5 linked regions of the Macaca fascicularis genome follow. The protein of the gene in region 4 purifies or fractionates together with the protein of the main gene of each other region. This does not show direct contact. Links are inferred from orthologs where the notes say so. Each region holds a gene or a part of one and is shown on either strand. Other genes may lie near its edges. The genes, in order: POLH, SLF2, SHPRH, RAD18 and SLF1.

Region 1 (6,138 bases), on a different chromosome or scaffold from region 4:
TGAGCCCAGGAGATTGTGGTTGCAGAGAGTCATGATCAAACCGCTGCATCCAGCCTGGACAGCAATGAGATCCTGTCAAAAAAAACAGGAAGATGAAGAGATATATAGAGCAAGGCATGTGAGAAGGGGTGTGGAGCTTTCATGCCCTTCCTGGATGAGTCACCCTCCAGGAATCTCTACCGTTACAGCTGTTTGGAACCTCTCTGGACCCTGTCCTCTTGCGTTTTTAGGGAGGCTGCATTATGTACTCATGACTGATTAAACCGTTGGCCATAGGTGATCAACTTGACCTGCAGACCTCTCCTCCTCTCCCCTCCCCAGAAGTTGAGGGGTAGGGCCAAAGGTTCCAACCCTTCTGAAGCTATTATTCAACATTAGCATACAAAAAGACAAAACTTGGGTGATTCCAAGGATTTCTGGAGTTGTATGCCAGGAAACTGAGATGAAGACCCAATATATATTTCACAATATTGCAAGTATCCTTTTCTGGCTTTGTACGTGAGCATATTGCTCTTTCTTTTTTCTTTTCTTTTTGTTTTTTGTGAGTGGGGGATGGAGTTTCACTCTTGTTGCCCAGGCTAGGGTCCAATGGTGGGATCTCGACTCACTACAACCTCCGCCTCTTGGGTTCAAGTGATTCTCCTGCCTCAGCCTCCCGAATATCTGGGATTACAGTCATATGCCACCATGCCAGCTAATTTTGTATTTTTAGTAGAAACGGGGTTTCTCCATGTTGGTCAGGCTGGTCTTGAACTCCTGACCTCAGGTGATCCACCCACCTCTGCCTTCCAAAGTGCTGGGATTACAGGTGTGAGCCGCCGTGCTTGGTCTTGCTCTTTATTTTCTTTGAGGCCTGTCTTCTTCCTGGCTCAAATAATGATTAAAAAAAAAAAAAAAAAGTCAAGTGTTTCTCTAATTTGAGAATGTTTTAGAACAATGATTATACTGGTTTTTATGGGTGTCATGGTGAAGAGGTACCAGTGTTTTCATTTTTATGGTAAATGTAAATTCAATAGGAACAAAGAACTGGACACTACAAAGCAGGTCCAAACCAAAGCAAAGAAAATATCTGTATAGTGGCCGGGTGCGGTGGCTCATGCCTGTAATCCCAGCACTTTGGGAGGCCAAGATGGGAGGATCACCTGAGGTCAGGAATTTGAGATCAGCCTGGCCAACATGGTGAAACCCCATCTCTACTAAAAATATTAAAAAATTAGCCGGGCATGGTGGCAGGCGCCTGTAATCCCAGCTACTTGGGAGGCTGAGGCAGGAGAATCGCTTGAACCCAGGAGGCAGTGGTTGCAGTGGGGCCAGATCCCGCTATTGCACTCCAGCATGGGGGACAGGAGCGAGACTTCATCTCAAAAAAAAAAGAAAAGAACAAAATATCTGTATATTGTCACAGAAAACTAGCTATACAGGCAGAAGAGCTGCTTATTAAAGTTTGAATAGAAGACATATGGTGAGATTGGTATGTATACCCTGAGGACGGTTGTCTGCCCACCCAGACATATCACCACATTCTAGGTGCTTATCTTCGGTTTGATAATTTGAATATTAGTATATCCATAAATGGTTGGTTAAGGCATGTGTGTGTATGTGGTGATGACCAGTTTACATGTTAACCAAACTCACCGTTGACTGAAGTATAAAATCCATATGCCAGTTTGTTAATTTATGGTGAGAAATATTATCCTGGGGAAGACCATATGCTCTGGTTCACTGATCAGTGCAGTGTTCCATGTAAATCACCCTTTTTTTTTTTTTTGAGACAAAATTAGAAGCAGAAGATTTCTTGGTGGATATATGAAAATAAAAAGAATAGGTGATCACAGTAATACACAAATGTGAGGCATTTCTTTATTTTTTATAGAGTTCCTTGTCATATAGACGTGTTCATAGTCTGAATGCTTTCTACCTTGGTAGTTCTGGCATTGTGCTAAAAATATTTGCCTCCGTGGTTCTTCCTTTTCCATGCTTCTATTATTGACCATCTGCCTGCCTGTTGACCCTTTCAGTTACTACTTTCTAGTCTCTGTTAAGCCACATGTCTCTTGATTATGTATATTATTGTTCATTATGGCAGGGTGGGAGTGGAGCAGACAATCTCAAGGTTGCCTCTGTTTATTGCCTGCATGAATGATCCTTACACTTCTTAGGTACCGGGAAGCCAGTGTTGAAGTGATGGAGATAATGTCGCGTTTTGCTGTGATTGAACGTGCCAGCATTGATGAGGCTTACGTAGATCTGACCAGTTCTGTACAAGAGAGACTACAAAAGCTACAAGGTCAGCCTATCTCAGCAGACTTGTTGCCAAGCACTTACATTGAAGGGTTGCCCCAAGGCCCTACAACAGCAGAAGAGACTGTTCAGAAAGGTACTTCCATAACATCATATTGCTTCTGCTTCCTGCCTTTGGAACCTGCTTTGCTTGGTCATGCTGATTCTCCATGGAATAATTGAAAGGAAACTTAAACTACAGCCTGAATGAATCACAAGGACTTACATGGAAGCATATACAAATTTTCTTATCTTTCCAGGTATATGGCTGTTGAGAAGCTGTGAAATCTGTATGAAAGTAAATTTCTCTTTTAGATGTAACTAGGGCAGGTTAGTGTTATCAGTAGAAGGCAGAGGCCTGGCGCGGTGGTTCACGCCTGTAACCCCAGCACTTTGGGAGGCTGAAGTGGGTGGATCATGAGGTCAGGAGTTCAAGACCAACCTGGCAGCATGGTGAAACCCCATCTCTACTAAAATGCAAAAATTAGCTGGGCATGGTGGTGCGTGCCTGTAATCTGCTACTCAGGAGGCTGAGGCAGGAGAATTGCTTGAACCAGGACCCAGGAGGCAGAGGTTACGGTGAGCTGAGATCTCACCACTGCACTCCAGCCTAGGCTACAGAGGGAGACTCCATCTCAAAAAACAAAAAAATCACTAGAAGGCTGACTAAGCACTTTGTCATTGGTGGCTTAATTTTTATTATTGTAACTTAGTGTCTTGGTTAACTAATATATAAGAAGGGTGAGCTTTTTAAAGGGGGACCTCAGGTATAGGGAGTTGAGTGATTCAAAATTTCTACTCACTTCATAGCACATTATTACATGGGCTGCACAAGGCCCTTCTCATTGTATTTTGCTACTTTTACCCTTCATAGTGATTTTCCCACTCCCTCTGTACCCCCCTCACCCTCTTGTACCCACTGATATACTTGATATATCTTAGATGTGTATATATCTCTTCTCTTCTCTTCTCTATTTTGAGATGGAACGTCACTCTCGCCCTGGCTGGAGTGCAGTGGCACGATCTCAGCTCACTGCAACCTCCGCCTGCACGGTTCAAGCAGTTCTCCTGCCTCAGCCTCCGGAGTATTTGGGATTATAGGCATGTACCGCCAAGCCCGGCTAATTTTTGTATTTTTCATAGAGACGGAGTTTCATCATGTTGACCAGGCAGATCTCGAACTCCTGACCTCAAATGATCCACCCGCCTCGGCCTCCCAAAGTGCTGGGATTACAGGCGTAAGCCACCGCACCCGGCCTATATCTTTATAAGTTACCCAGTATTGCTTTGTATATGTGCTTTTTAATTACAAGATGATTTTGTGCTATTAATAGATCTCATTCTTTTTCTTAATTTTCCCTCAGTAGTGACCTTAGAGATCTCTCCATGTGGCTGTATTTATTTGTAATTGCTGGCTTCGATGGCTGTTACTTGCAGCATAATCCATGATATGGACCCACCATGTTTACAGACCATTTTCCCTGGTGACAAATTCATTGATTGCTTCTAATGTCCTACTGTAACAGTTTACATTCCTCCTAGGAGTACATAAAAGTTCCTGTTTCCCCCATATTCTCAACAACTCATATCATCTAATGTTTAAAAATAGGCCGGGCGCGGTGGCTCAAGCCTGTAATCCCAGCACTTTGGGAGGCCGAGACGGGCGGATCATGAGGTCAGGAGATTGAGACCATCCTGGCTAACACGGTGAAACCCCGTCTCTACTAAAAAAATACAAAAAACTAGCCGGGCGAGGTGGCGGGCGCCTGTAGTCCCAGCTACTCAGGAGGCTGAGGCAGGAGAATGGCGTGAACCTGGGAGGCGGAGCTTGCAGTGAGCCGAGATCGTGCCACTACACTCCAGCCTGGGCGACAGAGTGAGACTCCGTCTTAAAAAAAAAAAAAAAAAAATTTGCTGGCCAGGCGCAGTGGCTCATGCCTGTAATCCCAGCACTTTGGGAGGCTGAGGCAGGTGAATCACGAGGTCAGGAGATTGAGACCATCCTGGCTAACATGGTGAAACCCCGTCTCTATTAAAAATACAAAAAAATTAGCCTGGTGTGGTGGTGGGCGCCCGTAGTCCCAGCTACTTGGGAGGCTGAGGCAGGAGAGTGGCATGAACCCAGGAGGCGGAGCTTGCAGTGAGCTGAGATCGCGCCACTGCACTCCAGCCTGGACGATAGAGCGAGACTCTGTCTCAAAAAAAAAAAATAAATAAATAAATAATTGCCAATATAATGTTTGTTTGTTTTGTTTTAATTTACATTTCTGTGATTACTAATTGAGATTGAAGATCTTTTCATACACTTGTAAGCCAGCTGAGTTTCTGCTTCTGTGATTTACCTTTTTATAATCTTTGCCCATTTTTCCATGACAAATGGTAAAATTATTTATTTTTTGATTTGCAAGAGTTCCTTGTATATCCTATCCTAATTATTAGTTCCTTGTCTTTTTTTTTTTTTTTGGAGATGGAAGTCTCACTATGTTGCCCAGGCTAGAGTGCAGTGGCTATCAGTGGCTATTCACAGGTGTGTAATTATGGCTCCACTGCAGCCTTGAACTCCTGGGCTCAAACAGTCCTCCCACCTCAGCCTGCAGAGTAGCTGGAACTACAGGTATGCGCCATCATGCCTGGCTAATTTTAAAATTTTTTGTAGAGATAGGGTCTCACTATGTTGCCCAGGCTTTTCTTTTCTTTTTTTTTTTTTTTTTTTTTTTTTGAGACGGAGTCTCGCTCTGTCACCCAGGCTGGAGTGCTGTGGCCGGATCTCAGCTCACTGCAAGCTCCGCCTCCCGGGTTCCCGCCATTCTCCTGCCTCAGCCTCCCGAGTAGCCGGGACTACAGGCGCCCGCCACCTCGCCCGGCTAGTTTTTTTTTTTGTATTTTTTAGTAGAGACGGGGTTTCACCGTGTTAGCCAGGATGGTCTCGATCTCCTGACCTCGTGATCCGCCCGTCTCGGCCTCCCAAAGTGCTGGGATTACAGGCTTGAGCCACCGCGCCCGGCCAGGCTTTTGTTTTCTACTTGGATATTGATGTGTTAGGAAATGATAAATGGGTTTTTTAAAATAAATTCATTTTTTACTTTATCTATCTGAAAAAAACTTGTGATACAATCTGTATGAAGTGTTTTAATAACATGTACTTGAAGGTTAATTTTTTTTTTCTTATATTTGAATAGAATTAGAACAATAAAAACTTGCTTTTGTGGCCGGGCACAGTGGCTCACGCCTGTAATCCAAGCACTTTGGGAGGCTGAGGTGGGTGGATCACGAGGTCAGGAGTTCAAGACCAGCCTGGCGAAGATGGTGAAACTTCGTCTTTACTAAAAATACAAAAAAATTAGCTGGGTGTGGTGGCACACGCCTGTAATCCCAGCTATTTGGATGGCTGAAGCAGAGAATTCCTTAAACCCAGGAGGCAGAGGTTGCAGTGAGCCGAGATCGCACCACTGGACTCCAACCTGGGCGACAGAGCAAGACTCCATCTAAAAAAAAAAAAAAAAACTGCTTTTGTGATAATGTTAGATTATGATAGTCCTAGATTCCAGGTCTAAGAATTTGCATAAGAATGAGGGTTTTTTGTTTTGTTTTGTTTTTCTTTGAGACAGAGCCACTCTATCACCCAGGCTGGAGTGCAGTGGCGCAATGTCGGCTCACTGCAACCTCCGCCAGAATGAGGTCTTTTTTTTAATTGAATATTATGAAATTCAGTTGTATGCCCCCAGAGCAAGTAATTCTGCATAAGTTTCATGTTTTGGCTGGGCGTGGTGGCTCACACCTGTAATCCCAGCACTTTGGGAGGCCGAGGCTGGTGGATCACCTGTGGTCAGGAGTTCGAGACCAGCCTGGCCAACATGG
Region 2 (6,138 bases), on a different chromosome or scaffold from region 4:
TTTGAGGGTTAATTATTCATATAATTATTTGGTTAATTATTCTATTTTACATGGGCAAAAAAGGAAAAAGTAACAGAACAACAAAAGTTAGGAGAAATGGTAGAAATCCCGGCCGGGCGCGGTGGCTCAAGCCTGTAATCCCAGCACTTTGGGAGGCCGAGACGGGCGGATCACGAGGTCGGGAGATCGAGACCATCCTGGCTAACACGGTGAAACCCCGTCTCTACTAAAAAAATACAAAAAACTAGCCGGGCGAGGTGGCGGGCGCCTGTAGTCCCAGCTACTCGGGAGGCTGAGGCAGGAGAATGGCGTGAACCCGGGAGGCGGAGCTTGCAGTGAGCTGAGATCCGGCCACTGCACTCCAGCCTGGGCGACAGAGCGAGACTCCGTCTCAAAAAAAAAAAAAAAAAAAAAAAAAAAAGAAATGGTAGAAATCCTATCCCCGGATCTTTTTCGAAGGCAGTAAATATCATTGAAAGGAATGAGAACTATCTGCTAATTACCCTGGTAGCTCCAGCACGATCCCCATATATCTGGAATCAAATCTACCTCAACTCTACTAAAGCAGAAACCAGCTGTGCCCATCAATCTCTCCATCCCCAGCATCTTCTGCATGCTTCGGTTACTGTTCTTACCACACTAACCCACAAGAGTTGGTTAATTTTGTTTCAACCATTATATTATGTTTTCAAGGGCAGCCTCAAATCTAAATCTTTGTTTTGTTTTAATTCCTAAGACCTGGTGGCATACCTTGTACCAAATTGCAATTCAAACAAGAACAAAGGGACATCCAGATCAGGTTCTACGGTGAGTTTTTTTTTTTTTTTTTGAGACACAGTCTCGCTCTGTCGCCCAGGCTGGAGTGCAGTAGCGTGATCTCGGCTTACTGCAAGCTCCGCCTCCCGGGTTCACGCCATTCTCCTGCCTCAGCCTCCCGAGTAGCTGGGACTACAGGTGCCTGCCACCAGGCCTGACTAATTTTTTTGTATTTAGTAGAGATGGGGTTTCACGGTGTTGGCCAGGATGGTCTCGATCTCCTGACCTCGTGATCCGCCCACCTAGGCCTCCCAAAGTGCTGGGATTACAGGTGTGAGCCACCGTGCCTGGCCTATGGTGAGTTTTCAAATCCAACCAAGGGCAGCCCCATTAGTGCTATCAATGTTTGTAAAAAGCCTTCAGAACTTCTGAGAGAGGGACTTCCGTAGGACATTTTTTTAAATTAAAAAAATTCACATATATATATTAAAGACAGGGTCTCCCCATGTTGCTTAGGTTGGACTCGAACTCCTGGATTCGAAGGATCCTCTGGCCTCAGCCTCCCAAGTAGCTGGGACTATAGGTGTGTGCCACCACTACCGAGCAACAGTTGGACATGTTTGTCCACATTCTCATATATACATGATATATTCTTACTGAACAAGTACTAGAGGGCAACTACATTTAAGCTCTATGATCTAAAAAGACTCATTTTAAAACAGGTTAAAGATGCAATCAATGTACAATGGTTTTGCAATTTCTAAGTTTGCGATAAAACTGCTAACTTAGACAAGTTGAACTAATTCAATAAATGAAATCATATTCATGTAATTCCACATTATGATTTTCCCAGTAGTTTCTTTATACATTAATTCAGAGATGATTGTCCACAACCATTCTATGTGGTGGAGGGTGCAATACTATCTCCATTTCACAGATGAAAAAACTGGACCTTGTTAGTTAAGTGTGCTAGAGATTACATGAACAGTATCATGCTTGAGAGCTGAGCTCTGACCCCAGGACCTTTGACTTAGGGTTCATCAATTTTCCTTATACCTCTCATTACCTCTCCCATTTATTAAAAATAAAAATGTATTTATTTATACCTGCAGATTACTGGCATTAGGAACATCTTCATGTTTCTCATCCAAAAGCTTTGAAATAATCACTAGACTGAGGCACTGTCTCAGTTGCCTAGAATTAGAAGTTAAAAGTATTTAGAATGTATTTTAATTAATACTGCTTGAAAAGCAAATGAATGAGTCAAGAGGAGCTCTAGTTCTAATTGGAAATATAGGCAATGTTTCAAGAGAAGTCTGTACAGGAACATATAAGCTGTTATAGAACAGTAAAATTTTCATGTAAAATATTTGTACATAAAACTTGAATTATCTGAAGCTCAGTAAATCATTTAACAGCCTTATCTTTGACCCTGATGATTTACTGACAGAAAACCTATTTTTTTTTACTGATGAAATTTATTTTTACTAAAGCAAAAAAAAGCTGATTCATTTATTTTTGTGGAATATGTCATCTGTATTAAGGTAACAGATAAACTAAAATTAAAAATAAAAAAATATTCAACTTGGGTGACAGAGTGAGACTCTGTCTCAAAAAAAAAAAAAAAAATTACATAACGACCTGAGTTAAGAATTAGAGTAAGAAAGAATCAGGCTATCAATGCCTTTTCTCACAACTGAATATGAAATAAACATCTCTGATCTAACATTCAAAGAATGATGAATGGAAATAAAGAACCAAGGCATTTCATTAATCTAAAATTATAAAATTTCTTAATGTTTAATTCTCACTTTTCAATACCTTCCACGTGATGTCCAATTAGGGACCAGCTGTACTAACCACAGAAGGTTGTGGGGATGACTCGAGAGTTCATTTATGCCCAGACAGAGTTCACGCACCTGAAAAAAAAGAACATGTAAGATTTCTTTTCAAACAGAACAGTAAAATCAAACACCCAACAGATCATCTACATCCCTTCTTGCCATAATGGAAGCACTAGTACAAAATAAGGGCACACATTTTTAGAAATAGCATGGAGTCTAGAATCTGCTAAAATGTACACAATACACAGATTGTTTTACTTATACTATCTTAAATGGACTGAACAGATACATTTAGCAGAATTTCACTTGGCTTTCATGTTTTGTACTACATCATATCTTTAAACAGTCCTTCTTGGAAGGATAAACTGATCTAAACATAAATGTGTATCAGAGTTGTACAAGACTATATATATTCCTGATTTGGGATTTCTTGCACAGGGATCCTATTTCAGTATTTTTAAAAGCCTAACACCTGGCTGGGTGTGGTGGCTCATGCCTGTAATCCCAGCACTTTGGGAGGCTAAGGAAGGTGAATCCCTTGAGGCCAGGAGTTTGAGACCAGCCTGGCCAACATGATAAAACCCTGTGTCTACTAAATACACAGAAATTAGCTGGGCAGGGTGGCGTGTGTCTATGGTCTCAGCTACTTAGGAGGCTGAGGCACAAGAATCACCTGAAACTAGGAGGCAGAGGTTGCACTGGGACAAGATTGCATCACTGTACTCCTGCCTGGGTGACAGGAGATGCTGTCTAAAAAAAAAAAAAAAAGCCTAACACCCCCCAAATATGTATTACCATTGTGTATCAATTTTTTAAAAAGCCTAACAGTTGCTTCAAAATAATCTGATGAGCAGGGAAAGGAAATATAGGGTCAGTTTTACATTAGACAAGATTATGTCTCAATTATTGAAGCAAAGTGATACTTAGGAATTTATTATACTCTTTGCCTTACTTCTGCCTATTTTAATTTTTCCACCAAAAAAGACTGAAAAATATAATTTTTAAAAAGTCCTAACAAAAATTATACATGTTCATCCTCCATATGGTTGCAGAAGTTCAACTCAAATTCTGGTTGTAGGTATGACTCACTCCGTCATTTCATTTAGGTCTCTGCTCCAAGGTTATTTTGGAAAGGCCTTTCCCTGACTGCCTTATATGAAATAGCATAGCATCCAGTCTTGCTGTACTCATGTCCTGCTTTATTTTAATTTGTAGTACTTAACTACTACCTGACATGATAATATAATCAACATTTACTTGTTTATCTAACCCTTTGACTAGGACAAAAGCCCCATGAAGGCAAAGGCTTTGTCTCTTTCACAGCTCAATCTCTAGCACCTACATTAATGCTGAGTCCACAGGAAATCCCCAATAAACACATTTTTGTTGGATAAAGAGCTGAAGTTTTAGAAAAAATTCAATTATCATGAATTTAAATAATACAGCTCCAGCAAACAGTCTCTTCCTCAGTTCATTTTTAATCTGCCAAAGATCTTGAGTTTAGAAACAGTATTAATTCCATATGCACTATGAGTCAAATTGTAATGCTATATAAAAAATGAATAATGAAGTTTTAAGTAACATTACCTTTGTGTTCCAATCTCTGATGTTTTTCATCAGGTTTATCAGGAGGCTTTGAAAGTCTACTAGAGGAATCTGTTTCAGCTGTTTTTCCAAACTCATTTTAAATAACATTAAAATCAGCAACATTATTTCACGATCCTGGTAACCTTCTGGATGTATAGATGTACACAAGCCTAGAAACTGTTTAACATAAATGCACAGACAAAAATATTTTAGAAGGTGTATTTTATTTTTAGGGTTTTAATTATAAACTTTTTGACAAAAGACGCAAAAAAGAACTATAAAGAAAACAAACATCAGATGTCTAGACAAAAGAAGGCAAGAACTACTCCACGTTAATAGTTGAATTAAGTGGCATTTTCTTCTCCATTTTCCATTTTTGAGATTTTCTTAATGGTTCAGTAACACCGATTCAATTCAGCAACTAAAAATGTTTCACACTGTCATTAACTTTTTTTGACCTTCTTTTTTTTGAGACGGAGTCTCACTCTGTCGCCCAGGCTGCAGTGCAGTGGTGTGATCTCGCCTCACTGCAACTTCCACCTCCCAGGTTCAAGTGATTCTCCCGCCTCAGCCTCCCCAGTAGCTGGGATAACAGGACCTGCCACCATGCCTGGCTAATTTTTTTTTTGCGATTTTTAGTAGAGACAGGGTTTCACCATGTTGGCCAAGCTGGTCTCGAACTCCTGACCTCAGCTGATCCACCCGCCTTGGCCTCCCACAGTGCTGGGATTACAGGCATGAGCCACCGTGCCCGGCCTCTGCCATTAATGCTTGATCACTAAATTATATTGTAAGACTTCTTTCTTCATACATCCTACTTATAAAAAACTATTGGTTTCAAAACTATTTAATGATGTAACTGACCTAAAGTTCCTGTTCATCACTAATATTAAAACAACACAAAAACAGCAAAAACAATCTTTAATACAAAGATTATTGCTAAGAAATTTCAGAGACTGGAAATCACCTGGTAAGAAACTAGAGTTTTTTTTTTGAGACACAGTCTCACTCTGTTGCCCAGGCTGGAGTGCAGTGGCGTGATCTCAGCTCACTGCAAGCTCCACCTCCCAGATTCACACCATTCTCCTGCCTCAGCCTCTCGAGCAGCTGGGACCACAGGTGCCCGCCACCACACCCAGCTAATTTTTTTTTTTTTGTATTTTTAGTAGAGACGGAGTTTCACCATGTTAGCCAGGATGGTCTTGATCTCTTGACCTTGTGATCTGCCTGCCTTGGCCTCCCAAAGTGCTGGGATTACAGGCGTAAGCCACCGCGCCCGGCCTGTATTTTTAGTAGAGACGGGTTTTCACTGTGTTAGCCAGGATAGTCTCGATTTCCTGACTTCGTGATCTGCCCGCCTTGGCCTCCCAAAGTGCTGGGATTACAGGCGTGAGCCACCGTGCCCAGCCGAGATTTTTTTTTTTTCAAAAAACCATTAACCACAGACCAAATGGTTCTAGCTCTGAGCCAAAGACACACAAAAGTTTTTTCCTACCTTAACCACATTTAAAATGTTGGTTTCAGGAAGTGTTGAAAAAATTGGCTTATAAGATGAATCTTCACTTTCTTTTCCCCTTGATGTTGTCTGTGTTTCAGAACTATTGAGAAGTGAGTAAAGCAATGTGAAGTTAGGCACAAAATATATTACTCACTTTAAGAAATACTGGGCTACTTTTTAAAAACTATGTTTTATCGAGGTATAATTTACATACAATAAAAGGAATGTACCCATTTTAAGTTTTGATAATCATATATACTAATGTAACCACCATCCTAATCAAGAAGTAGAACATTTCCATTCCCCTCAAAAATCTCTTTATGCCAAATCCAAGTCAATCTGCTATCCCTGACTCAAGGCAAACACTAATATCATTTCTATCGTTATGCATCAGTTTTCTCTTGAACAAACTACGTTTTATATGGTACTATCCTCCTTGCTCTTGGTGTTAGA
Region 3 (6,138 bases), on a different chromosome or scaffold from region 4:
TCAGTAACATTTGCATGGAAAGAAGGAAGAATGAAATTAGTGATGGGTATTAATATTAGGAAACAATAATATTACTATGTGCCCAGTACTTGATGAAATCATATAATCTTCACAAATGACTGGATACTATTTTTAAAACTCAGCACAGTTCCTGGCACATAATTTAAGTGGTCAATAAAGATTTGCTGTATAAGTAAACTCTTATTTTACAGCTGAGGTAACTGAAGCTTTAGAGGATGATTCTGGAGCTAAGAGATGGCAGGTCAGATAAGTAGCTCCTATACCACAGTGCTGCCTTTGGATTGCATTTCTCTCTGAAGACTATAAATGCTTATACCAAGATTTTTTCATTTACATACTCAAGAATTTTTAAAAAGTGTTCACATCTTTATATTCAGAATGCTTAAACTGCTGAAATTCTGATGTTAGAAAAGAATAACACTGTACTGTTCTAGTTCTTAGTCTCGATTTTTTTCTTTAAGCTTTAACATTACTTTAAATCATTCAGTTAGTTTTGAGGATAAACAACAAAGAAACAAAGATTCGGAAACTATCATGAACAAGAAAAACTTCACATCTTCCTCTCCCTCTAGTCCAAGTGGCCTTACCAAGACTCGAAGAGATGATGACCTCACATGCCTGTTGATCTCATCCACCCACTGGTGACAGATGGAACTTGGAGAGATGATCAGAGTTGCTCTTGTTGACACTGGCTCCATTGCAACAAGGCAGTGGGGGCAATAAAAAGGCTTGATCTTCAGATTTTTCTCATCATAATTCACGCACTTTGCATGCTGCCACAGGTGACACTTCAGGCACTGAACACGAGGCTTACGATCTATCTGATCAAGTTCACCACATATGCACTCAAAGCGATAATCAGAGGTGTTAAAGGGACTCATGGTATTAGAAGGTGGCACATCACTAACATCAGCATTTAGAGATTCAGCACAGTCCTCTGTTTCATTTTCTTGGTTGAATTCAGAGATACATGTACTTTTAGATATAGCAACATCAGTTATTCCGGAGTTGCTAGTAGCTGGACAGAGACCTTGTGAATGGGGATTGATAAATGGTTGACTTTTTCCCTTTTTTGTGGATGGAATAGGCTTTTTCCTCAATTTACTACGATTTCTCCTGGCCTTATAATAATAATAGTAAGGATCGTCATCATCATCAGAGGTGTTTGATGGCAAGTATTCAGAATCTGTGTCCTTGTTCCCTGATTTTCTAGATTCTTTCTGAATTTTCCTTGGACTCCCTACTGCCTATGAAAAAAATATTTAATTAATTGATTTCAACATAGTTGCACTTCTGAAATTAAACGCCTGACTTTATGTAAGTACTTCATATAAAAATCTAGCAGCCAGTCTTTGCTACCCTTTTCCCTGAGGAGAATCACTCCTGATAAGTGGTTTCCAATCTGCCCTCTGTAAGGACCCTCACTTTATCGCAAAAGAAAAGGAAGGCTCTACAAGTATAAGATTTGAAGAGACAAAAAGTTAGGAAGATAAAGGAAGCTACTGATATTTTGTTATTAACATACTATGATTTAGTCTGCCTAAATCAATACAAGACTAGTACTTTCAAGTACACAAATACACAAATTGGGGCAACTACAAAAATACCAAGTACTAACATATTGCATCCAAAGAAAGTAAAAGATAATCCACTGATTACTGCAATTAGCAAATTGATTCCTTCTTTCCTTCCCTTTTCTACATGTGTCCTCTCTTATAATTACTTATTAAATGCCAATTCTGTGCCAGTAGTTGTGTTAGATGCTAGGGACACAAATATGAACAATATTTGGCCCCTGGTCTCAAAGGGGTCTACTGGAAAAGTGAGAACAGTAAAAAGTAAAATGATGCTATAGGAATACCTAAGAGGGTTGTACAACATAGTGGGAGTATGATAGGTAGGTAGGTAACAGGGACAGCTTCCTCCAAGTGATATCAGGGCTGAGGTCGAACAGCGGAGTTAAGACACAACATGTATTCAATGGGAAATTTTCTCGTTTTGGTGGTAGCAGGATTACCAAAAGCACAGTTGATTGCTGTCTTCAATGCTACCCAAGGACAATACCAGACTTTCTACTCCAGGAAATAATTTTTTTGTCTTTTTCTTGGTGGCCAAGCTGCTAGTTCCACATTTTGACTTGTTGTCTTTAGTCTTTATTTATGATTGCAAATATTTTAACTATTTTCCTAAAAGCAAACTGAAATTACTGGCCCAACAGAAGCAGTTTTCTAACAAAATGCAGAAATTTTATAAGATAATAATATAAAGAAAATAAGAATTTAGTAGTTCCAGACCTGCCTGGGCAACACAGTGAGAACCCCATCTCTACAAAAAATAAGAAAAATTAACCAGGCATGGTAGCATGAGCCTGTACTCATAATTACTTGGGAGGCTAAGGCAAGATGATAGCTTGGCACAGGAGTTCAAGGCTGCAGTTAGCTATGACCACTGCATTCTAGCCAGGGCAATAGACAGACGCCTTGTCTCTTAAAAAAATACTAAAAATAAATAATACAGAAGATGCTTTAGACTCTATAATACGCTTAGCCAACTAATTTTATAATTCATTCAATAAATATCTGAGTATTTGTTATGTGCCAAGCATTATCCTCTGGGTTTAATGATAGCCAAAATAAAGTTACTCTCATGGAGTTTATATCCACAAAGTAGAAAATATAAGTTACAGATATAAGTACTCTTCCTATTTTGTTTTTTATCTTCAGATTGTAAGAGTTTCAGTGTCAAGGTGGGATCTGTCAATGTACTCGGTAAGGTATCACATACGTGTACTTAATATGCAGCTTAACTTAAGCTCTGTTACCTGCTTTTTTGTTTTATCACATATATCTTCCTCCTTGTAATTCTTTCCTAATGTAAAAGTCCCAGAAAAACCATGGCCTTTGATCTGTTTCACGAGACCTTCAAAAATTAAACATTTCAGCATCCGTTTCAAAAGACTCCTGTTCCGTTGAACATCGTATCTATATATAGAACTGACATACTTATAGATGGAAAGGATGGACACTCCTTTTTTTCCATTCATTTCCTTCACAGCTGTCAGGATCATCACACGTGTAGCTAAATGTAAAAGGATATGCTAATTCAGTCAAAATAATTAAAATGAAAAGAAAGTAAAACTTGGTTAATCTTAATCTGCATGAGGACTGAGTTAAGAAAAAAATAAATCAAAGATTTATTACAACATAGTGTCATTTTGAAAAAATATGTAATAAAAATGTATCTCAGCATATTAAGAAACAAATTAGTGTAATACAAATAATTGAAGGAAGAATTACTCATATTGAATTGTTAATGTTATAAAACAACAATCATTCAGAATTATAAAAGAAAACTCTCACAATTATGTAAGTATACACAATGATTAGTATATGAAACGTTCATTTCCTAAAAGATAAATAAAGCCTGGTTTAAACTGCAAGCTAAAGAGATTTAAATACAACAGATTGAGCAAGAACTACCTGGGCCAAGTCAAACAAAAGAATACATCTTTACTTTTGTTAAGATATTATGACTTGTAATTGAATTCATTTATGAAAAGCATACATAACTGTAAAAACAATTATTTATAACAATTACAAGATATCTCTAAGGATTGCAAGAACTTTAGCAAAGATCACTACAAAAAGGTATTTCCCTTAAGAGATGTCATACTTACGAGGGCATTGAACTTTTTCTTTTGGTTCAAATTCGATATTCTGGATTTCTGTCTCTTTCAGTTTTCCTCCAAAATAATGTGACGGAATAAAGTAATTCACCACTTTTCCCTGATACAAACAACAGTCAGTAGTTACACAGTGTTTTGCTCTCAGTATTCTGAATTGTTTATTGAAATTAACTTTCCTTCTTTATGGAAATGCAAAACAGTTGTAAAAAACTTGCAAGAGAAAGGGCCAAATAGCTGTAGATACATACATTGTTTTATTTCTGAGTTTACAGCTAGCTATCACTTAAAAAATATGTGCATATTATCTTAAATTACCTAAATGATATGTGTGGAACCTCCAAAATTAAGTTTTTTTTTTTTTGAGACGGCGTCTAGCTCTGTCACCCAGGCTGGAGTACAGTGGCGCGATCTCGGCTCACTGCCAGCTCCGCCTCCCAGATTCACGCCATTCTCCTGCCTCAGCCTCCTGAGTAGCTGGGACTACCGGCACCCGCCACCACGCCTGGCTAATTTTTTGTATTTTTAGTAGAGACGGGGTTTCACCATGTTAGCCAGGATGGTCTCAATCTCCTGACCTCGTGATCCGCCTGCCTCAGCCTCCCAAAGTGCTGGGAATTACAGGCGTGAGCCACCATGCCCGGCCTGAAATTAACTTTTAAAGGTATATTTAAATATAAAATTAACCCATTGAATTTATAATAATATGAAAATAACCTGGAATTAAAGGAGTAATGAGTAGGACATCTCAGAGAGAAGTTACTGAGCTAAATCAACATATTCCAAGTCACACTTCTACAAAGAAAACATAATTTTTTCTATTTCCTATTCAAATCTGAAAGGCTAATTCTGCAAACTTGACCCTACTGAAAGATAACATAATGCTAAAGCTGTGAGACTGGTGGATCCTGGATGTAATTAATTATAATTACACCTTTAACTACTGACTTCATTTCAGCAAGATTTAATGTAAACGCTGATTTTGGATTTCATTACTAGAAAATATGAGCTATATACTATATTTGCCTTAGTGGATTTTGTTTCTGTAACTCCAAAATTTATATTTTTATACACAATTATGTATTTTGGGACAAGGACTTGAAATTTGTTTCATTTAGCAATCTATTTACTAAGCTACCTGTTCTTTAACAAAGTTCTAATTATTTGGTTCTAAGATTTATATATCTGAGATTTGTACAATATTTTTAAATAGCTCTTAAAAATATTTAGTAGTAATATGGAGACTTTATTAGTGACAAAACATTTGAGGAGTCAACAGTACTTTTTAAAGGAGTTTCTCTGCCAACTAGAAGGAAGTTTAGTAAGTGACTGCTAATTCTCTTCCAGGTTGGCCAACATTACTTAAAAAATAAACCTTCTGGGTCACAAACACCCCATTCTCTCTGCCCACTTGAAGTTAACTAACCACTAATATAAATCATTACCCACAGAGTGAACAGAAAGTGTTGACTTAAGTGCCAAGCAAATGTTCAACATATGATGCTTTTCGAGAACATATGTCCCTTGCTTTTGCAAGCCCTACTGTACCCCTCCTACCTCAGGAAGAGTGAGAGTATCTTGTTTGACATCTTGTCGAGTATGTGTCAGAATCAGAGCCAAAACCTCCACTGTCTTTCCAAGACCCATCTCATCTGCTAAAATTCCACCAAGCAACTGCAGCCCACAATTTGGGTACTCACGAATGATGCTAAGGAAAAAAAAAAAAACAAGATAAATCACATCACAAGAATGTGAATACAAATTATACTTTTTCTAAAGAGAACTGGAAGCAATGCATAAAGTCTAAGTTTACTGAAACTGTATTTTAGGGTAAAATAATTCAAACCTTAGATTACGAACATAAGAAATGTGATAACCAAAAAAACTGCCTGAGCTGACAAGTAACTCCGCAGAAATGAGTGGCAGTCAAAAGGGAACATGTCTGCCTTCTTTCTATGACCTTTATGAATCTATGAATAAAAAGAAAAATACAAAGGGCAATAACTACTGATTCATTCATGATGTTTAATGATTACTAAGAAAAAAAAAAAAAAAAAAACTGGCCCCATAATAAACAAGATAACATTTTTACTTAGAATAATAATCTCTTTAAATCTTGATAACTAAGCACCTTATGTCTATTATTCCAAATTCATTCACTGAAAAATGACAAGTGCTATTAATTCTAAATCTATCCTATCCATAGAGATGTCTAATAAGACTTCACCTTTGACTCCTTCATGAGGTAAAGCCAAAGTTACAGATATGCTAACAATCTCAGACAGTTTTTCATTATATTTATTTTTTAAATCAAGCATATAAGTAAAATTTTGCCTTACCAGCCTGTATATGGATTATAGTAGAGTTTCAGACCCTCAGATGTAACAATCTCTCGCCATAAGAAGTGCAGGGCACTTTCTAAAGAAAAATATAAT
Region 4 (6,138 bases):
AATGCACCATTAAGGATTTCAAGCAAATGAAATTATTATGACAAATTTTTCTATAGTCATTTCTAACACAAGGAACTCATAAAGAAATCAAATGTCTGGACTTCACTGTGAAAACACTAAACTTTCAGCCATAATGAGACTCTGCACATTATCAGAAACCCCAAAGCACATCAAAAAGCCAAGGTCAACAGAGACAGTCTTTGGAATGGGGAGGTCATAAATGTTGAACCTGGCAAATTACAAATTTCTTGTCTTAACATTGCTGCATTTGCTGTCATCTCATTTGAAAGATGATGTGTTTGGAATGGGTGGTGGCAGAGGGGTGGGAGTTGGGGAATGCTGGCTCTGAAATGCCAGAGAGGCATTATGAACTCCGGAAGCATCTGGCTACTGGTAGACATTTTACACACAGATAGCAATTTCTGACCAATCCATTTCAATGATTTCTAACCCATACTCAGCTATCCAGAGGATCCTGTTTTAAGAACATTATTGTAAACTGATACACTCTATTCATTTACAAAATTCATTCATTGCATATTTTTTTTGTTTAATAGCTTGGATTCAGTGTTACAGATTTGATTGACCCAAGTGAAAAAATACACTAATCATTTTTAAGTGCTATTTCAGAAGAATATGTGCAATGTTTCTAAGTTATTGTGACTTTCTGACTGTTGTGGCTTTAAATTATAATACTAATATCTTACTCTGAGAAATGTGTAAGACACAGGTCTAACAAACAACTACATTAACCTCGGGCAACAACCATCATGGAGCTGCTGTACCACAGGCATGGTGGTGGCCTGCATTGGTACTTACACACACCAAGGATGTGAACTGACATCCTGCCTTTCCAAAAACATAAACATTTAACTCAACTGTTTCTTGTAATAAAGAGGTTGAAAGAATCCTTTTGTGAGGTTGGATTCTCCAGGGAAGAGAAGGAGAATGGCCTAAGGACATTCTGAAATTTAGATATCAAACCAAACTATACCAAACCAAACCAAATCCCTCTGCCAAAGTGCCAAAGAGTCTGCCTACTCTGCAAAGCTGGTGCTTGTGTAAAATGTCAGTATTTTTAGATAGAGATGTTTTAGAGGAAGGAGGCAACTGACCAAGTACAGATACTTTGTAATATTTTTCCCCTCTGGAAAAGCAGAAAAGAATGAACATCAGCTGACCATAATATTTAGAATTTAGCATCTTTCCTTGGGCATTTATAAACAGGAAATCTGTCTGTGGCAACCAAAAGTACCTTATTCTAATCACTGCATTTGAAAAGTCAGCAAAAGCCCACACTAATTCCTATTACGCTTGTTTCTTGGTTCAATCTCAGCACTTTCAGCGGCTCTTGTGCGGCGATTCTGTCTTGGACTTATTTCTGTGTCTTGAAGATCGTTTCTGAAGACAGAAAAAAGAAATGGCATCTTAGAAAGTAATGATTATTATTCTACAGCAGTTTCTAGTTTACAAGTGTTTCCACAGGTATTATTTCATTAAAACCTCGAAATAACCCTCTATTCTGTGGATGAATTCATAATTGTTATTATTAGTATTTCCACTTTATGAATTAGTGAATTAGCAAGGATTACAGATAGTCCCTTTTGCTGAATTAAAATTTAGGAGTTTTATGCTTCTGTTTAGCATGTAGAGGACTGGAAAAGAAAAGGTAAACAAAAAGCTGCTCCCATCCTAACAAGAAAAAGCCAGGCAGTCTAACAAAATCTTAACTCTTCTTGATCCTTCAGAGACCTGAGGTTGTAAAGGAACTAAGAAAGCAAAATTCCAAAGAAAAATATGCCCCTCCAAAGATGGGCCACACGTCTCTCACTTTTGGCAGAGTGTTGGAGAACGAGGTGGCTACCATACAAACAGGGAAGAAGAATCAGCTAAGATTTTCCTAATTTCTTAAGTACAGGCTAGTACTGCGGGCCACTGACACAAGGAGAGTCTGCACACACTTGCCAGCTCTTTTCCACGAGCCTCCGTCAGGTGCTCACAAGAAGACTGGGAGCAGGGCAGGAGAATGGAGAGGGGCCACTTCAGTGGCTACTGGGGACAAGAAGAAGTCCTGCCTGCTTTCTTGAATGCTTCTCTCCCATGAAGCATAAGCTTTTCAATTGCTGAGGGAAACATAGGAAACTCACTCTGGGGCTCTGGCAAAGACCCATGGCCTCTGGAGAAGGAACAGAGGTGAAATCAGTCTGTCTCAAGGGGAGGCATATGACCTCATTTGCAGGGACGCAGGCAAAGATTCACTGCGGCAGGGGAAATGTAGAAACTAAAACCTCTACCTTACAGGAGGGGCAGAAAATCATCTCCAGCTGATGACCTTACACTGACACCAAGCAGAGGTTTGGTCAAGGTAGCCTGATACCATGGGAGGAGGCAGAAGTGCTGAGAAAGGCCCATCCCTAAGCTCACAGGGCCTACCTAAGACTCAGGCTGGACTGAGATAACAGTGAACCTTGGCTGTTTCCCACCATGAGCGTAGCACCAAGCAATAAGCAGGAGCAGGAAATGGCTGAGGGAGAGATACGAACATGGTGAAGATATGCCCCTATGGGGTGCAGGCAAGTAAGCATGACGGAAAGGAAAATGGGAGTAAAATCAGTGAGACAAACCCTCTGGCAATCCAGCCCCAACACTAAGCAGAAGTCAAAGCAGACATCTGCTAGAGTAACTTGAAGTGGATGCACTGAAGGTCACATTAGTCACTAGGAAACTCCAACCCAGGTCAACTCTGAATTACCTGGCTCAACTCCCAACACTAATGACCCAATAGAAGGATACCCATTTCTAGGCACAAACACTATTGACCTCAGTCCCTATGGTCCTTCACTGTATGGCCAGCATTCAAAAAGTATGATACACAATAATGCAAGGAAAAAAACCCATTTTGAGATGGAAATTCCTTCAATAGGCTTTAAGTGTAATACATAAAGTTGATAAAAAGACTTAGTGAACTTGAAGATGTCAATAAAAACCATCCAGATTAAGATACAAAGAGAAAAAGGAGTGTGTGAGGGTGTGCACATAGAATAGAGCAGCCAGAGCTGTGAGACAATAAAAATGGCATAATATGTGTGTAACTGGAATGCCTGGAAGAAAGGAGAGAAAGAACTGTGGAAAATAAGTATGTAAATACATATGGCTGTGGATTTTCTAAAAATTTGAAACACATCAAATCAAGATCAAAGTTGGTCAAAGAACCCCAATCATGATAAATACCAAAAATAAACAACCAACCAATAAGATCTCTCCAGGATTTGTTGTTGTTGCTGTTTGCTATTATTGTTTAGTGACGTTTCTAAACCAATCCTATAAATACGTATTCTTCGTTGTGTATGGCAACTAAAAGTGTCTGCTTGATTAGCTTTGTAGTCCACTAATGATTGAACAGTTCCTTAGACCTCTGGAACCAGTATCATTCAGAAACTCTTAGCAAAACCAGTCTTTGCTGAGGGGCTCTGTGTGCATGCTGGGGCATGCAATCAACATTCACTCAACACTCAGTGGACAACTCTGCCTTAGCCTCTACTTCCTGCTTGCACACAGCCTCATGGTTAACCAGGGGTGAAAGCTTAGTGCTTCCTTAGGTCTATCCTAAGTATGCACAGAAGCTCTATGAATGAGAGTGACCCTCTAGATTCCCAGTAATATTTTACAGCTGTTCAAAACCCCCATGGAAATCTTACTTTTCAGCTTTTACTATTAGGCTTTTTGGTTAGCATATCATTTGCCCCAATTGTTATGTACCACCTCAGACAGCTACAAAGCTAGCCAAACATCTCTAACTGCATTCAACAAATACCCTTAGAGAAAAGGCTTTTTGAAGTGAGCAAGCTCCAAGTCAGGTAAAGTAAAGATAGTCTTGGCAAGTAGAGTCTTCCAGGGAACCATTAGATAGGCTAAGTAAAAATTCTCCAGGAATGTGGCTTTAAAGGGGCTCCAACCCTACTCTGCCTTCTCTGCAGGCTGTCAGCCTGCTGGTCCTCACCATGACTGCAGACTGTTGGCTCCCAAGGCCACAGAGGAACTAGAGAGAGAAGGATGAGAACAAAACCAGATGAATCACCACAAAACTCACTGTTCTCACTGAGATTCAGACATTTTCTTGAATCAATGCCCCCTAAAGTGCTGCTGCCTTTGGTTAATGTTCAGAGTTTTCCGAAAAGTTGAATCCGACAATTTTTGCAGTTTTATTACTGCATTTATGGAGCAGAGAATTTCCACCATTTTTGCTATCACTCTTATCATTTTTACTTTTTTTCATGTTTTAGTTTATGTTCTTAAAAATCTCTCAACTTTCACCATGTCAAATTTTTTATCTTAATGTTTTATTATCATTTACTTATTTGACTTCTGATTATTTTTAAGGCTTAAAATTTAGTGGGATGTTCCTCCTTACTTTTAACTTCTATTTTATTGCTCTTTATTCTCATACCTTGTTTTTAATAATCCTTTAACATTTTTCAGTAATATTTTCTTTCCATGTTTCCCCTCTTTGATTTGCCTTTATGATAGCTGGCAACAGACACAGCTATTGAGGTAGCGGAAGAAGTCATCTATACTTCTTCCACTTCCTTAGGAGGGGAGTTCCTGGCAAGGAGTATTTCAGTGGTACTCCCAGAACACTCTCTAAAACACCTCATCCCCTAAGATACAAGAATCCTAATAGAATAACCCAACCCATATTTTTTTCCATGCATGTAACGCATTGACTTACTGGAATAACACTTAGTAAGATCTCACAGGTGCAGCAGGTTTTAAAATTCTTGGTCTCCAGCAGGTATTACTAATGAATTTCTTTTAGTAAAATTTGACAATAGCATGTTAGCCAGATGAGAGGATATTCCTGGGGAGGGCCACAGTGAGGCATCTACCGTTAAAGTACTGAATCTATCTACTGTTAAAGTACTGAATCTATTGAATGCAAAAACATGCCTTAGGAGAGCCAGCCATTCATTATTAACCTGCTTCCAATACACATTATTTCCAGGATGACCTACTTTCCTTCTTGGTAGGTCCATAGAAAGAATCTCCTGGTGTGTGGCTCTCCTTGCCTCATGTTGATCATAGAGAGAGTGGTCAGATCAAGGACCACTGTAAACAGGCCTGAGTTTCCTTTTATTCATTTTTTTAAACATGAGATTCACTGTTTTCCTGCTGCAAGTACTTTCAATTACAGTAATTGTATCATTTAACAAACATGACAGGCTCATAAGTGCATGCAAACAAGTTCTCATGGGTTTAAGATGAAATGTAGACTATTAATAGAGAAAATAATTCTTCCTTTTCTGATTTTATAAGATTAGAGAAAGTTATTTTCTAAAATTTTATTTTAAAGGCACTATGAGATAGACACAAAGAGTTAGCAAGGTTTTTAAGTGGTGTTAGCTTAAAAATCAAATTTACAAATTTGGAAAGGAGCCTTTATTTCTTATAAACAATTACAGCCTGTAAGGTGACCACTCCGACAAGGCTGAGAAGTGTTAACTCCGGCAGAGCCCAAAAGACAGGTACTGTAAGGGAGAGGAAGAGGGAAAAGGGATTTATGGTGAATGTGTGGCCCAAACATACATATTCAACAGGTTACAGGAGGAGCTATGATTATTCATAAAGGGGGGTTCTAATGCATGTCCTAATGCATGCATGCATGTTACACACAACCCATGTTCATTCTGGGGTGGAGACTTAATATTTAAATACATTACAATTAGGCCATATATGTCAAAAGGTCTTTTTAGGACACAAAGGCACCCAACTGCTCAGCCACTATAAAACTGGCCAGAACCAGTCCATGATCAGTGGTCTCTTATCAGAAGAAAGTTACTGAAATCAGTCTCTTGTCAAACCAATGCTATATAGTTATAGCTTGTGGAACAGAGGGTCAGTTAGTCAGCTTCCGGCAGTAGATGTGCTACAATTGTTTTAACATTGTTTATCTCAAGGCCAGTGCTTGTTTAGCTGCTAGAAAAAAAGAAAAGCCTTGTAGCAATTAGAACATAATTACTCTTTAAGTGTAGGGTGATTTACTTAACCCTTGCTTCGCATGGCCTTAGGTCCTGTCTATAATTTGGTATTTTATTGTCACAAAAAAATATGTTCTGTCAGTCCTACGATCTCTATTCTAAC
Region 5 (6,138 bases), on a different chromosome or scaffold from region 4:
TTAATTTCAGTTTCATATTTAATCATTTTCAAAGGAAATAAATTGCTTTAAAGGGGTTTCCTGATTTCTGCTATTATGCAGTTAGTCCTATTTTCATTTTACTATGGGCTCTTGTTTTGACAGAAAATGCTGTTAAATATACAAAGTGGGTTATTTCCATCGTATTTATTTTATTATAAAGACCATATGGTTTAAGATGAAAACTTTGCTTTACACACTAACTCCAATAAATCCAAATAATTTAATAATTTATACTTGAAACCAGAATACATTAAAATGTTACGTTGTTAATAATATTCAAATTGTAAAATAGCTGTTAACATGATCTGGAAACAGCAATGTAGGATATGTTTCCTTTATTTCTGTATAACTTAATTCTGAGAAAGCAGAATAATAAAATTTAAAGGACAAACTTTAAATAAAACTCTTTTGGGTAACAGTGTTATAACAATTTTTTTACTATTTTTTGTATATTCCGATTACTTAACATTAGTTTTTTTGTGTCAATTTTTAGAATAATCAGGCAAGATTTTAGATTTTTTAAAACCACTCAAACTTCTTTGGCAATATTCCTGAAATAGCCATTAAATAGCCCTTGAAACTCTAAAATACATTAAAAATATACAAGTAGTAGGAAAAGCATATGTGCCTGTAATCCCAGCTACTTGGGAGGCTGAGGCAGAGAACTGCTTGAACCCAGGAGGCAGAGGTTGCAGTGAACCGAGACAGCGCCACTGTACTCTAGCCTGGGCGACAGAGTGAGACTCTGTCTCAAAAAAAAAAAAAAAGCAAAAAAAAAAAGCCAGGTGTGGTGGCGGACGCCTGTAGTCCCAGCTACTCGGGAGGCTGAGGCAGGAGAATGGCGTGAACTGGGGAGGAGAACTTGCACTGAGCCGAGATTGTGCCATTGCACTCCAGCCTGGGCGACGGAGCGAGACTCCATCTCAAAAAAAAAAAAAATTGGATGATTAATACAGTAAGGGGTTCCTTATACAAGAAGCTTAATTTATTTACTGATGAAACTGTTTCATGTATATGATTAATTTTTCATAAGAGACCAATCCCTAGTATGTGCACTTAAAAATTTTACACTGACTAGACCAAATCCCTGTAACTTTTTAATAAAAACATTTATTTCATTGGAGAGCCTTATCTTTAAGGCACTTTCTTATGTTCTGTATCTGAGTTTTAGAGGGTTAAAGTACATTGTACCTCTTTGCCCCTTTTGCAGCCAGTTGAGAAATGCAAAAATCAGATAAATTGAGGTTGAAATATCAGCTTTTTTATTGAGTAAACATTGCTTTGAAGATGATGGTTTTTGTTTTGTTTTGTTTTTCCCTCATCCTTCTGCAAGAAGGCAGTGGTTTTGATATGGAACCATAGTGTGCTTCCTAGTACATAGCCTCTGAATTGACTTACCCACACAGGCAGTGCAGGACTACTACTGGCAGCTCCTTAGGATGTGTCAGAAAGCATCGATATGGACCTTCTTTGCAAATATGCAGATAGGCTGAGCAAAGCATATCCATTTAGTTGTCTCAAGGAGCTTCTCCAACGAAATGGGGAGTGATGAAGGGTAGAGAAAAATTAAGAGTGCAGTTACCCTAGCCGAACTTCCTCCTCTTCAAAACTCTAAGCAAAGAAATAAAAGTTCACTTCTGAGTAATGCTTTAAATTGTTTATATTGAGACTTTCTTTCAATTTTTACTCTTAAATGAATCCCAACCTTTATATATGTTGTATTTATATGTCTTTAAAAGCAGACTTTTGTGAAGAATGTTTCTCACTTTACCAGTTGTGTGCTATTAGTTATGGGCTCAAATCATTACAGTTTTTGAAGTTTACTTGTAATTGTATTGAAAGAAGTCATGTTTCTTTGGTTGTTGAAAATAGCTACTGTTGTTATTCTAGCTATGACATTAGTTAAATATTAATAATCCATAGCTATGATGACCAAATTGTTAGGGAAATGAAAAATTGCCCTGATTTCTCTAGTCCCTGCTTTCCTTGTCTGTGAAAAGATTGAGATTTTTCTCTAAGATGCTATCTAGATCTCCAGTTCAACCTCATGTAAACAAATAAAATTGTATTCTGATGAGAAATTCTATGAGTTATGTACTCCCTAAACACAAAGTACTTTTTGTGAACTACATTAAAATATGGATTGAGGGTCCCTATGAAAATAAACTTAGATTTTAAAAAAAGTGATTTTTCAGTTTACCTTGTAAATGATGAAATTAACATATATATATAGCAAAGTTAAGAAATATAGATTGCAAATAGGATCCAGGATTATTATGTGTACACACTTTACTAAATTATTGGATATAAATGCTGTGAGACCATGAGTTCTATTCACTTCTCCGGTAATGTGTACATATTTAATATCTGTCCACAGAGGCTTTAAAGTCTTTGTGGAGCATAAAATCTGATTGTTTCATTGTCTGTAAGTTTCAAAAGCTCTTAGCGAACAACGGTAGTTTTTTTTTTGTTTTTTGAAATGGAGTTTCGCTCTTGTTGCCCAGGCTGTGTAGTGCAATGGTGCGATCTCAGCTCACCACTACCTCTGCCTCCTGGGTTCAAGAAATTCTCCCACCTCACCCTCCCGAGTGGCTGGGATTACAGGTATGTGCCACCATGCCAGGCTAATTTTGTATTTTTAATGGAGATGGGATTTCACCATGTTGGCAGGCTAGTCTCAAACTCCCGACCTCAGGTGATCTGCCCGCCTTGGCCTCCCAAAGAAAGTGCTAGGATTATAGGCATGAGCCACCGCTCCCGGCCAACAATACTCTGTTTGTTTGTTTGTTTATTTTTGAGATGCAGTCTCACTGTGTCGCCCAGGCTGGAGTGCAGTTGTGTGATCTCATCTCATTGCAACCACTGCATCCCAGGTTCAATCGATTCTCCTGCCTCAGCCTCCTGAGTAGCAGGGATTAAAGGTACCTGCCACCACACCTGGCTAATTTTTATATTTTTAGTAGAGGTGGGGTTTCATCATGTTGGCCAGGCTGGTCTAGAATTCCTGACCTCGTGATCCGCCTGCCTTGGTCTCCGAAAGTGCTGGGATTACAGGTATGAGGCACTGCGCCCGGCCCAACAATACTTTTTAAATGAAGCTTGTATAACATTATTATGCCAATATTTGTATAACATTCTGTCATTTTCTGAGGAAGAATATTTATTCATCAATGTGTTTTAGTGTCAAGTAACGTATTAATCCAGACTTTCAATGTTCAAATCAGAAAGAAAAAAAACCCCTCACTTTTTTAAGGCCACATTTTGAGAAGATAACTTTTAAAACTAGTTTCTATCGTATGTAAGTAATTTTAACATTGTTTTAAGAGTTATGCCTAACGTCTTTAATTCATTATATGTTTAATAGTTTATTTTTAGTACTCATAATTAAGAAAAAATAATGATGTCAACCCTGTGAATAATATCTTTAACATGTTATCTTCTGTACGTTTGTATTTGCTAGATGGAAGATGGTGCCCCAAAGCATATCATCCAAATGACAGGATTTAAGATGGAAGAAAAAGAAGCGCTAGTCAAATTACTTTTAAAACTAGATTGCACTTTTATTAAGAGTGAGGTAAGAAACTTAGCAAAATGTTCAAGGTATATTTGAAAAATAACTAGAATTAAAATGCTGGCCTAACAATGATAAAATGCCTTCTTGATATTGTAACAATAAGAAGAATGTGTTATAAAGGCAGTCTTACTTTAGTAACATTTCTTGATGTGGATTTTTCCCTCCAGAAATACAAAAATTGTACACATCTTATAGCTGAACGCCTATGTAAGAGTGAAAAATTTTTAGCAGCTTGTGCAGCAGGTAAGTTAACTGTCTTGCCCCAACTTTTGAAAACAATCTTCATGTTAAAGAAAAAGTATTTTATTCTCTGGAGAGATAGCATATTTATATATCAAACCTCAATGTGTTTTTCTGATATTTTTTGAAAATATTTAATTTTTTTTTTTTGCTTATTCTTCTGAGTAAAATTCTGTAACACATGAAAAATGTATTAAATAGGCAAAAATATTTACCTCAACAAGGATTTAGTGTGTTTTATATAAGACAAAAAAAATACATTAACTAAAAGACTGGCACAAAATGTCAAAATCTTAAGCTTTTGTTAAAGTCTCAGCTGTTTTCAGTCAAGTTTTCTTTCATCTGTCATTTGATACAGTCAGTGCTTTTGTTCTCTCTCTGCTGCTTCTATCCATATTATGAAACAATGGTCATACTATTTTATTTTTCTAAGATATTAAATTCTATAGATCCAAATTAAGACTTAGTCTTCTCCTGTATCGTTTTGTAATTTATAGCTTTCTCTATTTTTATAGCTTTCTGTATTGTGATTGATCTAACATATCATTAGTCTACTGATTGCAAAAAAAAAAAAAAAAGTGTGTGTAACTTGGGTGAATTTATCCTTTTTTAGATTAACTTACAAGGAAAACACTTGCATTCGTTTTTAACTTTACAAATGAAAACATACATTGTCCATAGTGTTCAAAAAGATCATTGATGCCCAGATAAAGAAACTGTTGGTTGCGTGCGGAGGCTCATGCCTGTAATCCTAGCACTTTGGGAGGCCAAAGCAAAAGGATCACTTGTGCCCAGGAGTTTTAAGATCAGCCTGGGCAACGTAGCGAGATCTCATCTCTTTAAAAAAAAAAAAAAAAAAGTTATAAAATGACCTGAAAAATTCCTTAACTCAATAAATTTGTTTTACAGAGTAATAATGCTGTGAACAATATTGGAAAAGCTGTTAGCATAGGAGGAAGAATATAAATCTAACCCAAAATAGTGAATAATGATAGTAATAATAATTCAAGTAATACCACATTTTATTTTGGATTTTAAAGCTTTAGATTTATGTTTAGAATTATAGAATTGTAATTTAGAATTATATTTAAATGAAACTATAATTATAACTAAGTTATAACTATGGAATTATATTTAGAATTACAATTATTTGTCATGGAAAAGATTACATACAGTGTTCAGTGATATTGTAAGCCTCTCACTATCAAAAAATTTCCCCAAAATGCATAGTTCAAAGATAATGTTAGCAGTGTCGCTTAAGAGTCTTATCTTGAAAAAGGTTGACTTTTATTTTATAATTGATCTTCGTTGTTTATCATTTATCAGAACCAAAATTCCTTTGTGACTGACAGCTCATTTGCTTTCTAGGAAAGTGGATACTAACCAAGGACTATATAATTCATAGTGCCAAAAGTGGCAGATGGCTTGATGAAACAACTTATGAATGGGGATATAAAATTGAAAAAGATTCCCGTTATTCACCTCAAATGCAATCTGCACCTAAAAGGTGGCGTGAAGAACTGAAACGCACTGGTGCTCCAGGAGCCTTCCACAGATGGAAAGTTGTCCTCCTTGTTAGAACTGATAAGCGAAGTGATTCTCTTATAAGGTAGGATGTGATTACATAAAAGCTAAAGCAATTCGTGAGAAAATAATTTTGATTTGTATGAGTACTTTCTGTATTTTTTTGCAATTATTAGCCCAAATGAGCCATGGTGATTTACTCCAATCTCCTAGGTAAGCCATTATGCTCTTTTAGACTTATGTGTCTTTCATAGAACAAAATCTACTTTACAATATTGTTTTAGATTATTCTGGATATCTCTATTTTACTTTCCATGTTATTCCTTTTGACCAACTCAAGCAAAACAAAAAAGGAAAACTAATTGGGAGGTTTTTGTTTCTAGTTTTGAAGCACTTTTAGACTTGCAATTATCACAAAAGCATCATTCTGGATTTATGTAATGCTGTCTTCATTATTCATACTGATTTCATCATAATTTTATTTCATTTTGTCCTTGCCATATTTTTGAAAGCTTTTTTATTGGGTAAACTGTATTCTAAGACTGCTGTTACTTTTTTTATGGCAAGAGGGTGGGGAGTGTTTTTGTCTCCGTTAGTTAAATGTAATTTATAATCAATAAAATGCACACAAATTAAGGGTATGTTTTGATGAGTCTGGACAAATTGATGCACCCATGTTACCCTCACTATAATCAAGATCTGTTCCATGTACATTATCCTATAATGTTCTCTTGTGTCCTTGAACATTTAGTTCTGTACCACCAACACTGGGCAACCAC

What was found.
Region 1: the proteins of RAD18 (region 4) and POLH purify together in Homo sapiens (affinity purification with western blotting; 7 studies listed by BioGRID, with this or other methods). This does not show direct contact. The link is inferred for Macaca fascicularis from reciprocal best matches to the Homo sapiens genes RAD18 and POLH.
Region 2: the proteins of RAD18 (region 4) and SLF2 purify together in Homo sapiens (affinity purification with mass spectrometry; 3 studies listed by BioGRID and IntAct, with this or other methods). This does not show direct contact. The link is inferred for Macaca fascicularis from reciprocal best matches to the Homo sapiens genes RAD18 and SLF2.
Region 3: the proteins of RAD18 (region 4) and SHPRH purify together in Homo sapiens (affinity purification with western blotting; 3 studies listed by BioGRID and IntAct, with this or other methods). This does not show direct contact. The link is inferred for Macaca fascicularis from reciprocal best matches to the Homo sapiens genes RAD18 and SHPRH.
Region 5: the proteins of RAD18 (region 4) and SLF1 purify together in Homo sapiens (affinity purification with mass spectrometry; 4 studies listed by BioGRID and IntAct, with this or other methods). This does not show direct contact. The link is inferred for Macaca fascicularis from reciprocal best matches to the Homo sapiens genes RAD18 and SLF1.

What each region holds. Positions count from the first base shown.
Region 1 is NC_088378.1:127,931,885-127,938,022, reverse strand, and holds part of POLH (DNA polymerase eta), read left to right. Parts: intron 1-2,159; coding exon 2,160-2,377; exon of another isoform or gene 2,378-2,506; coding exon of another isoform or gene 2,507-2,540; intron 2,541-6,138. UniProt on the Homo sapiens protein: DNA polymerase specifically involved in the DNA repair by translesion synthesis (TLS). Due to low processivity on both damaged and normal DNA, cooperates with the heterotetrameric (REV3L, REV7, POLD2 and POLD3) POLZ complex for complete bypass of DNA lesions.
Region 2 is NC_088383.1:109,901,532-109,907,669, reverse strand, and holds part of SLF2 (SMC5-SMC6 complex localization factor protein 2), read right to left. Parts: intron 5,786-6,138; coding exon 5,683-5,785; intron 4,365-5,682; coding exon 4,188-4,364; intron 2,676-4,187; coding exon 2,578-2,675; exon of another isoform or gene 2,568-2,577; intron 1,951-2,567; coding exon 1,863-1,950; intron 1-1,862. UniProt on the Homo sapiens protein: Plays a role in the DNA damage response (DDR) pathway by regulating postreplication repair of UV-damaged DNA and genomic stability maintenance.
Region 3 is NC_088378.1:53,799,469-53,805,606, forward strand, and holds part of SHPRH (E3 ubiquitin-protein ligase SHPRH), read right to left. Parts: intron 6,122-6,138; coding exon 6,043-6,121; intron 5,412-6,042; coding exon 5,261-5,411; intron 3,807-5,260; coding exon 3,698-3,806; intron 3,100-3,697; coding exon 2,843-3,099; intron 1,269-2,842; coding exon 609-1,268; intron 1-608. UniProt on the Homo sapiens protein: E3 ubiquitin-protein ligase involved in DNA repair.
Region 4 is NC_088376.1:147,138,658-147,144,795, forward strand, and holds part of RAD18 (E3 ubiquitin-protein ligase RAD18), read right to left. Parts: intron 1,402-6,138; coding exon 1,299-1,401; 3' UTR 1-1,298. UniProt on the Homo sapiens protein: E3 ubiquitin-protein ligase involved in postreplication repair of UV-damaged DNA. Postreplication repair functions in gap-filling of a daughter strand on replication of damaged DNA.
Region 5 is NC_088380.1:98,621,577-98,627,714, forward strand, and holds part of SLF1 (SMC5-SMC6 complex localization factor protein 1), read left to right. Parts: intron 1-3,481; coding exon 3,482-3,595; intron 3,596-3,762; coding exon 3,763-3,838; intron 3,839-5,203; coding exon 5,204-5,444; intron 5,445-6,138. UniProt on the Homo sapiens protein: Plays a role in the DNA damage response (DDR) pathway by regulating postreplication repair of UV-damaged DNA and genomic stability maintenance.